Saccharomyces cerevisiae S288C: one gene and its partner. The gene in region 2 interacts genetically with the main gene of each other region. Each region holds a gene or a part of one and is shown on either strand. Other genes may lie near its edges.

Region 1 (5,971 bases), on a different chromosome or scaffold from region 2:
ACTGGCGCCAGAGGGTTGAGAGGGATAATGGAAAGACTTCTGCTAAACGTTAATTATGATTGCCCGGGTTCTAACATAGCATACGTTTTAATCGACGAAGCTACTGTCGACTCGTTACAGGAAACAGAGCACTCTTTGGCTTCCCAAGTGGACGTAAAATACTATTCTGGTGATGAAAAGGACAGTTTAATTCGTGACGTTTCTGAAGAAGATAAAAAATTAGGAGTTATGCTAGAAAAAGAGTTGGGTCATTCTGCTAACATTCATACCCCAACAATTCCCAAGAGAAGCTTAACATAAAAAAAAATGAATGGTATAGAATATATAAATATAGATGTAATAAATGTAGTAAATGAACAAATAATCTTCCTACAAAGTACTATGCCATGGGAAGTAAAAAAAATTAATAAATATTGGCTAAAGTGTTTCAAATTGGTTCTACGATACTGGGAGACTACTCCTTATCATAATGCTTTTTGTCCAGTAGTAAAAATTGAAGTAATTCTTGAACAATTTAAAAAAAAATTGGAACGGCGGCACAATTATTTGGTATATGGCAGCTTTGGCTTTTGCGCCACCACATACAAAGTTCTAAAGCAGCCAGCGTTGTCATCGATTTTTCCTATGTGTTCTTCCACATATCTTTTGAAAAGAGTGGTGGGGTCGGTATCCTTTGGAGGACAACTACTATCTGGTAGTTGCCTCCTTAACATGTAGTCCCACATATCTAAAGAATTAAATTCATTCAAAAAGCCCATATCTGTTTTGAAGTCACCAGTTTTCAAACTTAGGACCGAGGACTTGATGCCTGTAAACCCTACATCCTTGAATGTCCTCGTTAAGTGTTTTGTAGGATGGATATGTAAGCCTTTATTTATCGCATCAATAGCCATAGCATCAAATGTCTTGTCCCGTTCTTTTGTAGTCAAAAACTCTTCTGATGAATTATTTGCTTTTTCGGCATCGGCGTTGCCAAGAATTCCAGTATAGTATGTGTTTGAAATCCTTAAATCTGGAACAATTGCCAGCGCGTACCCGCCAGGAATTATTGATCTGTATATTTCCCTAAGTAGAGCTTTCCATTTATAATAACTTAAACTTGTCCAGACCCACGGGCATATTACAGCAGGTATAGTGTCTGATGCAAACGGCAGTCTTAATTTTAAATATTCTTTACCATAAATAGCTGCGCTTTTTGCCCTGTCAAGTCCTTCATTTGGAAAGGAGTTATCCGAATTAGAGGATATTGGTGATGACAAAGGTGGTTCATCTTCAGGCTGAAGTTGTGCATTAGAGGACCTCTTCACTTCCTTTGGCAAAATAAATTGGGTCGGTAAATCGATTTCTTTGTAGTTGTTCAAAGTCCGGCAAAAAAAATTCTCCAACCATTCATTTTGATGTGCTTGGTTGGCTGATTTGACATGGGGAGCTTTCTCTGTCCGAGGGGGACTAGAGATATGTGACTGTGGTTGAATTTTTGGAGAAGAAGAAGAAGATATGCTAGGTGAAACTGAAGGGCTTGTAGTATGTGAAGTTGATGCAAGTTGAGAATGCTTTCTCTTGAAAAAGTTGACGAAACCAGATTTTTTAGTAGCCTTGGTAGGGCTCTTCTTCCTTTTGACAGCATCTGCTCCCGAGGACGGCAATGATAAAGATCTACTTGAAGCGAATTGGTCGTTTAGAGGGTCTTCCTCAACTCCCTGATTGAAGTTGTTTCTAGAAATACGTTCTTTTGCATCATCTGTAAAGAACTTTCTATTCATGCAATCATACATATACTCTGAAGCATTGGAAGAATTCAATTCGATAACTTCTTGTTCGTCAGAAACTATTTTCGCTCTTGAACCCTTTCGTGGCAAATAATTTTGTAAGTTTGTTAAATACTCAGGAGCAATTTCACTAGCATTCTTATTCTGAGCGTCATTGTCACTGCTGTCAATCATCCAGGGAGATAAATCTAATGCGAAATCTGCGATGTTCAAGCTTGGTTCATCATACGCCAGCTGCCAACCGCCCAGGGTTTTATGCAGCGGTCTTATTAATAAGATGTCAATTTCGTCTAATGGATCCGATATTACTGGCCTTGGAGAGTTTGCTTCTATATCTAACTGCTGAATATATAATGTAGGGTCACTGATCTTGTTGCTGGTGGTGCTGATTGTTGGATTAGAATGTTGTCTTGTGGTTGGTTTTCTTTTTATTAGTTCCTCCACTACTTCAGATGAAAAGAAGAATGAATTTGATTGCAGTAAAAATTTTTGAGATTGAGCCAACCATAATTGAATCAAGGATTCAATTTCAGAATAATCTTTTAACGGGTCAAACGATGGAAAGCATTTAACCTCAGTCTCTATATTTATGATGTTTTCAATGTTAAATGGATAACATTCAAATGCATATTTCCTAGATTCCAAATATTTTGTTAGGAAATCAATGTACGACCGTAATCTTTTCTTGGCAAATATTAAAGAGTCTTCTGGCGAGGAGTCCATGTTAAAAGATAGAAACAAGTCCATTCTATTAAAGAGCTCATTATGATTCGGGTCGTACATTATTTGTTTGAATTCACCGTCTATGCAAATGTTGATTAAATTATGATTTCCTGAAACGGTTTTGATTAGAAGAGAAGAATCTGATGCCGGTAAAGTGTTCCAGTCCCATTTTTTTCTAGAATGGAGTTTCTTGACAACGTTCGAAGTTGCACCGTGTAGACCACCACCTCCCCGGCCATTGCCGACCATATTGGATACAATGAATCGCGGTGCAGAAGGGTCTGGTGAGTAATTAGCTTTCACTTCGGAAGTCGGAGTTCCGCTTCTATGACTATGTTTATTATTACTTGTATGATGATGATGTAGACCTATTTTGGAAAGCTGAGCGGACTTCAGTTTGGATACTGAGGATGAGGCAGCGGAGTCAGATGATCGTCTTGACGAGTTTGAGAACAAGTCATCCGCCAGTCTAAAGTTTGGCAAATGTAAGGGCGAATCAAAGGACGAGAGCTTATCTGAATGATGGCTTACTTGTGGTGAGTGTGATTCTACTGAACTACTTGATTGCGTGGTTCCATTTCTACTCTCTTTTTCTTGTTTCCCCTTTTCTTTGTCAGCATTTTTATGTTCAGTAATCATTGAACTTGTATGGTTATCATGTGCTTTTAAGTTGGAAATTTTGTTACTGGTTATACTGGTTAACCCCCTATCATTCTTACTATCAATGTTTTTTGCTTCCTTATTGGAGCCCATTGTATTTACTTGAGCAGTTTATAAAAAGTGGATAAATGAGGGGAAAAATAATAAAAAAGAAAATTGAACAATCCTTCAATATGTGTCCTTTAATAATTACTACTACTTTACACACTTCTCCAGTAGCTGCTGCTTGTTTCAGGTGATGTGAACAACGTGTTTCAGCGTTCTTGGTAAGTGTTGGTATGGATCCCTTCTGATGTATTTTCGGCGGCCGCACTAAACTGCGAAAATGGTAATTTAATAAAGGGCTTATAAAGAGGAAAATAATGCAGAGAAACGGTGAGCCCAGACAAGAATGATGATAATGTGTTTTCAACCGATCATTAATGTCACGAGAAACAAATTTCAATGGAACTAAGAGGAAGAGGTCGGATGTTGCCGAGAAAGTAGCACAACGGTGGAAGAGCGTCAGGTATAGTGCTGAAATGGAGAATATGGCTCCGGTCAACAGTAACAATGATAGCGACGACTGCGTCATAGTCAGTGAATCGAAAATCATTGATTTGACTAATCAGGAACAAGATTTGAGTGAGAGAATAGAAACAAACGATACGGCAAAAGGTGCCGTTTTTAAACTAATGAAATCGGACTTCTATGAAAGAGAGGATTTTATGGGAGAAGTAGAGGATATGATTACATTGAAAGATATCTTTGGCACTGAGACACTAAAAAGAAGCATACTCTTCAGTTTCCAATACGAACTTGATTTCTTGTTGAGACAATTCCACCAGAACGTAGAGAACATAACCATCGTCGGCCAAAAGGGTACTATTATGCCTATCGAAGCCCGTGCTATGGACGCGACACTGGCAGTAATATTAAAAAAGGTCAAACTTATTGAAATAACGATGCCCCCATTCGCTTCCCACCATACGAAGCTGATCATAAACTTTTACGATAATGGCGAATGCAAAATATTCTTGCCATCTAACAATTTTACGTCAATGGAGACTAACCTGCCTCAACAGGTGTGTTGGTGCAGTCCCCTTTTGAAAATAGGTAAAGAAGGGCTACCAGTACCGTTTAAGAGAAGCTTGATAGAATACCTCAATTCGTACCACCTGAAAGACATTGACGAATTGATTACAAAAAGCGTAGAGGAAGTTAACTTTGCTCCTTTGAGCGAATTAGAATTTGTATATTCTACGCCCTCCAAATTTCAGTCGTCGGGTTTACTGTCGTTTTACAATAAACTAGAAAAACTTTCTGCTGGCACAAGTGCTAGTGATACTGCAAAACATTATCTATGTCAAACTTCATCCATAGGGACATCTCTATCAAGAGCGCGAGACGAAAACTTATGGACACATCTAATGATTCCTCTGTTTACCGGAATCATGTCCCCTCCAGCAAAGGACACCGCTGGGAGGAAGAAAGCAGAAATACTGCCAACGAATTCATTGATTAATGAATATTCGCAGAGAAAAATCAAGCCGTACATTATTTTCCCCACCGAACAAGAGTTTGTCACCAGTCCCTTAAAGTGGTCCAGTTCCGGGTGGTTTCATTTTCAATATCTTCAGAAAAAGAGCTACTACGAAATGCTGCGAAACAAGTTCAAAGTATTTTACAAGCAAGACCCTGCTATGGTTACTAGAAGACGAGGGACGACGCCCGCGCACTCTAAGTTTTACATGCATTGTGCAACAAACTCCGCAGGGCCCTGTGATGCATCGCAGGTATTTAAAGAACTAGAATGGTGCCTTTATACTTCGGCAAACCTCAGCCAAACAGCATGGGGCACCGTTTCAAGAAAACCACGCAATTATGAAGCAGGAGTGCTTTACCATAGTCGCAGGTTAGCAAATACCAGGAAGGTCACGTGCCGTACTTTTACACGTGACCGTAGAGGCTGCGCGGGTAATCCCACCCATGTGGCCGTGCCATTCACGCTGCCAGTCATACCATACGACTTAGCTGAGGACGAGTGCTTTTGCCTTGCTCGTCATGAGAACGACTAACAAGTAAGAGCGCGATGTTGCTGTCCACTTAGGCATCACTATATGGGGCCAGGAATGGCAAATTTACTTGATAAACTTCAGGCGATTGGATTTTGGTGCTCAGAATATTTTTTTCTCGGGCCGAAAGCGTCTTTAACTATTCCGAGCTAAAGCTTCCGAGTCCTTTATTCGGTCTTTTTTTATTTTTCAAGATTAACTGTATATAAATAGAGATGGTATGATTAAAAGCTCTTTTTAATAGATGCTCCTTCTTGAAATTTACTCCCACTGTGCTGCAAGAGGTTAGACGCTTCACGCACATTTTTGCTACAATGACAAGTGCCGCTACTGTTACTGCTTCGTTCAACGATACTTTTAGCGTATCCGATAATGTCGCCGTTATTGTTCCTGAAACGGACACTCAGGTGACCTACAGGGATCTATCCCACATGGTGGGTCACTTCCAGACCATGTTCACAAATCCTAATTCTCCATTGTACGGAGCTGTTTTCAGACAAGATACAGTGGCGATATCCATGCGTAATGGGCTGGAATTTATCGTCGCTTTCCTCGGTGCTACTATGGACGCTAAAATTGGCGCGCCCTTGAATCCCAATTATAAGGAAAAGGAGTTCAATTTTTATTTGAATGACCTGAAATCTAAGGCGATTTGCGTCCCAAAGGGTACCACAAAGTTACAGAGTTCTGAAATTCTAAAATCTGCCTCCACGTTTGGATGTTTTATCGTAGAGCTGGCCTTCGATGCGACCAGGTTTAGGGTAG
Region 2 (6,919 bases):
AATACGCATAAGAGTGATCTAATCCAAGTAGTACCTCCTTAGCGCTTTTTTTATTATCACTATAGGTCATTTGGCTATTAGAGCGAACAGCAGAATTTGTCCTTGGTTTTCAGAGTTTGAAAATGCTATTTGGTATTAAACTGGCTAACGACGTATATCCTCCCTGGAAGGATTCATATATCGACTATGAAAGGTTGAAGAAATTACTAAAGGAAAGCGTCATACATGATGGCCGTAGTTCCGTGGATAGTTGGTCCGAAAGGAATGAATCTGATTTTGTGGAGGCCTTGGATAAAGAACTAGAAAAGGTTTACACATTTCAAATTTCCAAATATAATGCTGTCTTGCGAAAATTAGATGATTTAGAGGAAAACACTAAATCAGCTGAAAAAATCCAAAAAATAAATTCTGAGCAGTTCAAAAACACCTTAGAAGAATGTCTAGATGAGGCTCAAAGATTGGATAACTTTGACAGGTTAAATTTTACTGGGTTTATCAAGATTGTGAAGAAACACGATAAATTACATCCAAACTATCCTTCTGTAAAGTCTCTTTTACAAGTCAGATTGAAAGAACTTCCTTTCAACAATTCAGAAGAGTATTCTCCCTTGTTGTATAGGATCTCATATCTGTACGAGTTCTTGAGATCAAATTATGATCATCCAAATACGGTGTCTAAATCATTAGCAAGTACTTCTAAATTATCACATTTTTCTAACCTTGAAGACGCAAGTTTTAAAAGCTACAAGTTTTGGGTTCATGATGATAATATAATGGAGGTTAAGGCTAGAATCTTAAGGCATCTACCTGCTTTGGTTTATGCGTCGGTTCCAAATGAAAATGACGATTTCGTCGATAATCTAGAATCAGATGTCCGCGTACAACCTGAAGCGCGCTTGAATATTGGTTCAAAGAGTAACAGCCTTTCTAGTGATGGTAATAGCAACCAAGATGTTGAAATTGGAAAATCAAAGAGCGTTATTTTCCCACAGTCATATGATCCAACAATCACTACATTATATTTCGACAACGATTTTTTTGATTTGTACAATAACAGATTGTTGAAAATCAGCGGTGCACCTACGCTGAGATTAAGATGGATCGGTAAACTGCTAGACAAACCTGACATATTTTTGGAAAAGAGAACTTTTACAGAAAATACCGAAACTGGTAATTCAAGTTTTGAAGAAATCAGATTGCAAATGAAAGCCAAATTCATCAACAATTTTATTTTTAAAAATGATCCCAGTTACAAAAACTATTTAATTAATCAACTAAGAGAAAGGGGTACTCAAAAGGAGGAACTGGAAAAACTTTCTAGAGACTTTGATAACATCCAAAACTTTATTGTTGAGGAGAAGTTGCAGCCAGTTTTGAGAGCTACCTATAATAGAACTGCTTTCCAAATTCCTGGAGATCAAAGTATTAGAGTCACTATCGATTCCAATATCATGTACATTAGAGAGGATTCTTTGGACAAAAATAGGCCCATTAGGAACCCTGAGAATTGGCACCGTGACGATATTGATTCCAATATTCCCAACCCATTGAGGTTTTTAAGAGCAGGAGAATATTCGAAGTTCCCCTATTCTGTAATGGAGATTAAGGTTATAAACCAAGATAATTCTCAAATGCCTAATTATGAGTGGATTAAAGATTTAACTAATTCACATTTAGTTAACGAAGTTCCAAAATTTTCTTTGTACTTGCAAGGTGTGGCTTCACTGTTTGGTGAAGACGATAAATATGTCAACATTTTGCCATTCTGGTTGCCCGATTTAGAAACCGACATCAGAAAGAACCCTCAGGAGGCTTACGAAGAAGAGAAGAAAACTTTACAAAAACAAAAGAGCATTCATGATAAACTTGATAATATGAGAAGGTTATCCAAAATCTCTGTACCAGATGGAAAGACCACTGAAAGACAAGGGCAAAAAGATCAGAATACTCGCCACGTTATTGCAGATTTAGAAGATCACGAATCATCAGATGAAGAAGGTACTGCATTGCCCAAGAAATCTGCAGTCAAAAAAGGGAAGAAATTCAAAACGAATGCAGCTTTCTTGAAAATTCTTGCTGGAAAAAATATTTCAGAAAATGGAAATGATCCATACTCCGACGATACAGACAGTGCCTCTTCTTTCCAATTACCTCCGGGAGTTAAAAAACCAGTTCACCTTTTGAAAAATGCCGGTCCTGTCAAAGTTGAGGCAAAAGTTTGGCTCGCCAATGAACGTACATTCAATAGATGGTTAAGTGTAACCACATTGCTGAGTGTATTGACCTTTTCTATCTATAATTCAGTGCAAAAAGCCGAATTTCCACAACTAGCTGATCTGTTGGCCTATGTATATTTCTTTTTGACTTTGTTTTGCGGAGTATGGGCTTATAGAACCTACTTAAAAAGATTAACTCTTATTAAAGGTAGAAGTGGTAAGCATTTGGATGCACCTGTGGGACCTATTTTGGTTGCAGTTGTATTAATCGTTACCTTGGTTGTTAACTTTAGTGTGGCTTTTAAAGAGGCCGCTAGGAGGGAAAGAGGATTAGTAAACGTTTCCTCCCAGCCTTCGTTACCCCGTACACTAAAACCAATTCAAGATTTTATCTTCAATTTGGTTGGGGAATAAGAACATGTATATTTTTTATATACACATATATTACACAAGTACCAGTTACTATCATAATTAATTAATTGTTCTCTATTTATACATATTTGCTCTTCCGTATTAAATCATATTAAACAGCTTTCAGCAGGTGCCGGCGCCGCCTCTTTTTATTTTCAAAATTCAAAATGCACATAATGAGAAGATGTGTGTGATAGTTAAACCCAGATCAAAAAATAGCTGAAACGTTCGTTTCAGCTCCGCAAATCTATATTGCTAATTAAAATTATTCATCAATATCTACTTCTGTTTCAGTTTTTTTCCTCTTCTTCCTCTGACCTTTGGATATCATAATAATGTCAGTTGAAGTAGATAAGCACCGGAACACACTACAGTATCATAAAAAGAACCCTTACTCCCCTTTATTCTCCCCAATTTCTACATATAGGTGTTATCCTCGGGTATTGAACAATCCCTCCGAGTCTAGAAGATCAGCCAGTTTTAGTGGTATTTATAAAAAAAGAACCAATACGTCAAGATTCAATTATTTAAACGACCGCCGTGTTTTATCAATGGAAGAATCAATGAAAGATGGGTCAGATAGAGCTAGTAAAGCTGGTTTTATAGGAGGCATAAGAGAAACTCTTTGGAACTCAGGTAAGTACTTATGGCACACATTTGTGAAAAACGAACCTCGCAATTTTGATGGTTCTGAAGTAGAAGCAAGTGGTAACAGCGACGTTGAGAGCAGAAGTTCTGGAAGTAGGAGCAGTGACGTACCATATGGTCTACGTGAAAATTATTCCTCGGATACAAGAAAACACAAATTCGATACGTCGACGTGGGCCTTACCAAATAAAAGGAGAAGAATCGAAAGTGAAGGTGTGGGGACACCTTCAACCTCACCAATCAGCTCTTTGGCTTCTCAAAAAAGCAATTGTGATAGTGACAATAGCATAACTTTTTCGAGAGATCCTTTTGGTTGGAATAAGTGGAAAACAAGTGCTATTGGTTCTAACTCAGAAAATAACACTTCTGATCAGAAAAATAGCTACGACAGGCGACAGTATGGGACAGCCTTTATTAGAAAGAAAAAAGTTGCAAAACAGAACATTAACAATACTAAACTGGTGTCGAGAGCACAATCTGAGGAAGTAACATATTTACGACAAATATTCAACGGAGAATATAAAGTTCCAAAAATATTAAAAGAAGAAAGAGAAAGACAGTTAAAATTAATGGATATGGATAAGGAAAAAGACACTGGCTTAAAAAAGTCTATAATCGACTTAACTGAAAAGATCAAAACAATTTTAATTGAGAACAACAAGAACAGACTACAGACAAGAAATGAAAATGATGATGATTTAGTATTTGTTAAAGAAAAAAAGATATCTTCTTTGGAAAGGAAACATAAGGATTACTTAAATCAAAAGTTGAAGTTTGATAGATCTATATTAGAGTTTGAGAAAGACTTCAAAAGATATAACGAAATTTTAAATGAAAGAAAGAAGATTCAAGAAGATCTTAAAAAAAAGAAAGAACAATTGGCCAAGAAGAAACTTGTTCCTGAATTAAATGAAAAAGACGATGACCAAGTACAAAAAGCTTTGGCATCTAGAGAAAATACTCAGTTAATGAATAGAGATAATATAGAGATAACAGTACGTGATTTTAAGACCTTGGCACCACGAAGATGGCTAAATGACACTATCATTGAGTTTTTTATGAAATACATTGAAAAATCTACCCCTAATACAGTGGCGTTTAATTCATTTTTCTATACCAATTTATCAGAAAGGGGTTATCAAGGCGTCCGGAGGTGGATGAAGAGAAAGAAGACACAAATTGATAAACTTGATAAAATCTTTACACCAATAAATTTGAACCAATCCCACTGGGCGTTGGGCATAATTGATTTAAAAAAGAAAACTATAGGTTACGTAGATTCATTATCGAATGGTCCAAATGCTATGAGTTTCGCTATACTGACTGACTTGCAAAAATATGTTATGGAGGAAAGTAAGCATACAATAGGAGAAGACTTTGATTTGATTCATTTAGATTGTCCGCAGCAACCAAATGGCTACGACTGTGGAATATATGTTTGTATGAATACTCTCTATGGAAGTGCAGATGCGCCATTGGATTTTGATTATAAAGATGCGATTAGGATGAGAAGATTTATTGCCCATTTGATTTTAACCGACGCTTTAAAATAGTTATTCTTTTATAATATACAATTATTATACATAAGTAGAAATATTCAGATCATTGGATATGGAATAAAGTTCAATAAACCACTTGAAAATAAATCATAAGAATAGCATAAGCACCAGCTCAATTTAGATGTCTGTACAAAAAGTAATATATTTTAGAGATGAGCAGGCAGAACCACACATTAGTGACGATTGTCTTCGACCTTATGTGGAATCTTAAGCTTTAACATATAAGTAAAAATTTTTATTTTCAACAAAAGATTAGAACGAAATGAAATTCCTTAATTGAACCTTCTCTTGGATATCAATCTATTGGCAATCATTCCTAGAGAATATATTATTGAGTGAAAACTGTAGATACGTGCTAAGCGGTAAAGCCCTTATGAACATCGTCACACTATCTCTATATTGAGCCTCCGTAAATTTCGAATCATTTGAAATTCATTTTTCCTGGTAGGAAGATACTTGATAGTGGAGGATAAGTAAAGTAAATTGTGGTTATCATTTATTTGGTGGTAAAGTACCTTTTTTATGTTTTTTTTGAAGATGGAAATTCAGGCATTTTAAAAAAATAGAAAGCTCGAAATATCTCAAAAAACATAAAAATAGAGGAAGAATCCGCTGAATATACCATCTTTACAAACTACTTAACTATTTATTTTTAAATATAAAATTTTTAGTACCATCATCGGAGGATTGTTGCGATCGTATTTTTTTCTCCATTTTTTTCCTATATGCTATGCCACATCGACTACATAGCTCAACATTTCCATTAGGTCCACTTCTCCACTGAGAAGTCCAGGTGTCACCACAAGTGGCGCACTCTTTTGGTTGACCGTTGGGGAGTATAGTTTGTTTCTTCCTACTTTTAGGTCTATATCCTGCTAAAGATTTCTTTCCATTGGATGATATTGGTAGTGATGAAAAAGATGGGGCTGGTAGAATAGAGGGGTTATGCAAAGGCCCACCAAGACGACTTTCTTCCTTCAATTTTGGACTCAGCGCACTATTTAAGCTTTTGATCTTCTGTTCAAGAATATCTGCTCTTTTTAAATCTGGCGTGACACCAGATTTCGGGATACTGGCTACTGAACAGCAATAATTGGGATTAGCGGCAATGAACAGAACCATTTGTACAAAACGATCGAAGTGGAATTTCGTTCTACGACCAGAGCTACTAGCGCCGCTTGTTCCCTGCTCTTTGTTATATAACATAATATGATTTAAAAGTTCTATCACTCAGCACTACAACGCAGTATTTTTATTCTAGATGACCAGTATAGCAAATATTGTTACCCTTGAGATATTGGTAATTTAACCAAATCTCAAGTCATAAATGCCTCCCTTTTAAGTTTACATAGGCAGTGGACAGATTGGTACATCATATTAAAGGAAATAATGAACGCTAAAAAGAATGCCTTTTACTGACACATTCACTTTTAATACGAAAACGGATTTTGTGGTATATGACGTTGAGCACTGCGTGGTTTTCTGTGAATCCGCCGTGCCTAAAATGGACCCTTAATTATTTAACAATAGACCGGCCCGAATAATGTTAACATGAAGGGAAAAGTGCACATAACTGCAAACTACTTTGGTAGGTTGATTATCAGAGCTAAGCCATCCTACAGGTAATGATTTCCAAATTTTTTCTTAAGTAAAAAAGTTCAGAAAATAGAAGAAATATAAAATTTAAAAGGAATTACTGTTTACGAGACACATCGTTCATTCTTGGATAAATATACAAATCTACTTAAGAAAAAGCTTTCCTTATTTGTTGTTTCCTACTTTGTACCATTTGGTTTATTATATATCGTTGTGGAAAAGAAACTTGGTCTCTTGAATCTTAGTCGCAAAAGAAAATTTTTACCCACATAGGTAATGGAAAAGAGACAAAATTATTTCTGGACCTTATTCAAGAGGATGAATTTGAAGCATTTATTAATAATGAATATGATTGTGCGCTTCTAAGAAAAACTCACGGGTAATTTGGCTTAAAATGATTCACTAATGCCACGCTCAGATTCCACCAAATACGGTTAAAAAATCAAAAATAAATGAACTTCATTTGGTCATTTTTACTGCTAAAAAGTG

What was found. A genetic interaction does not mean that the proteins touch.
Region 1: of ULP1 (region 2) and TDP1, a mutation in one rescues a mutant of the other (synthetic rescue), as found in Saccharomyces cerevisiae (one study listed by BioGRID).

Annotation. Positions count from the first base shown.
Region 1 is NC_001134.8:667,901-673,871, reverse strand, and holds TDP1 (tyrosyl-DNA phosphodiesterase 1), read left to right. Parts: upstream 1-3,574; coding exon 3,575-5,209; downstream 5,210-5,971. Other genes in the region: MCX1 (Mcx1p), read left to right, coding at 1-300; YBR225W (uncharacterized protein), read right to left, coding at 543-3,245; PCS60 (Pcs60p), read left to right, coding at 5,521-5,971. UniProt on the Saccharomyces cerevisiae protein: DNA repair enzyme that can remove a variety of covalent adducts from DNA through hydrolysis of a 3'-phosphodiester bond, giving rise to DNA with a free 3' phosphate.
Region 2 is NC_001148.4:510,222-517,140, reverse strand, and holds ULP1 (SUMO protease ULP1), read left to right. Parts: upstream 1-2,962; coding exon 2,963-4,828; downstream 4,829-6,919. Other genes in the region: VTC3 (vacuolar transporter chaperone), read left to right, coding at 123-2,630; ECM23 (Ecm23p), read right to left, coding at 5,477-6,040. UniProt on the Saccharomyces cerevisiae protein: Protease that catalyzes two essential functions in the SUMO pathway: processing of full-length SMT3 to its mature form and deconjugation of SMT3 from targeted proteins. Has an essential role in the G2/M phase of the cell cycle.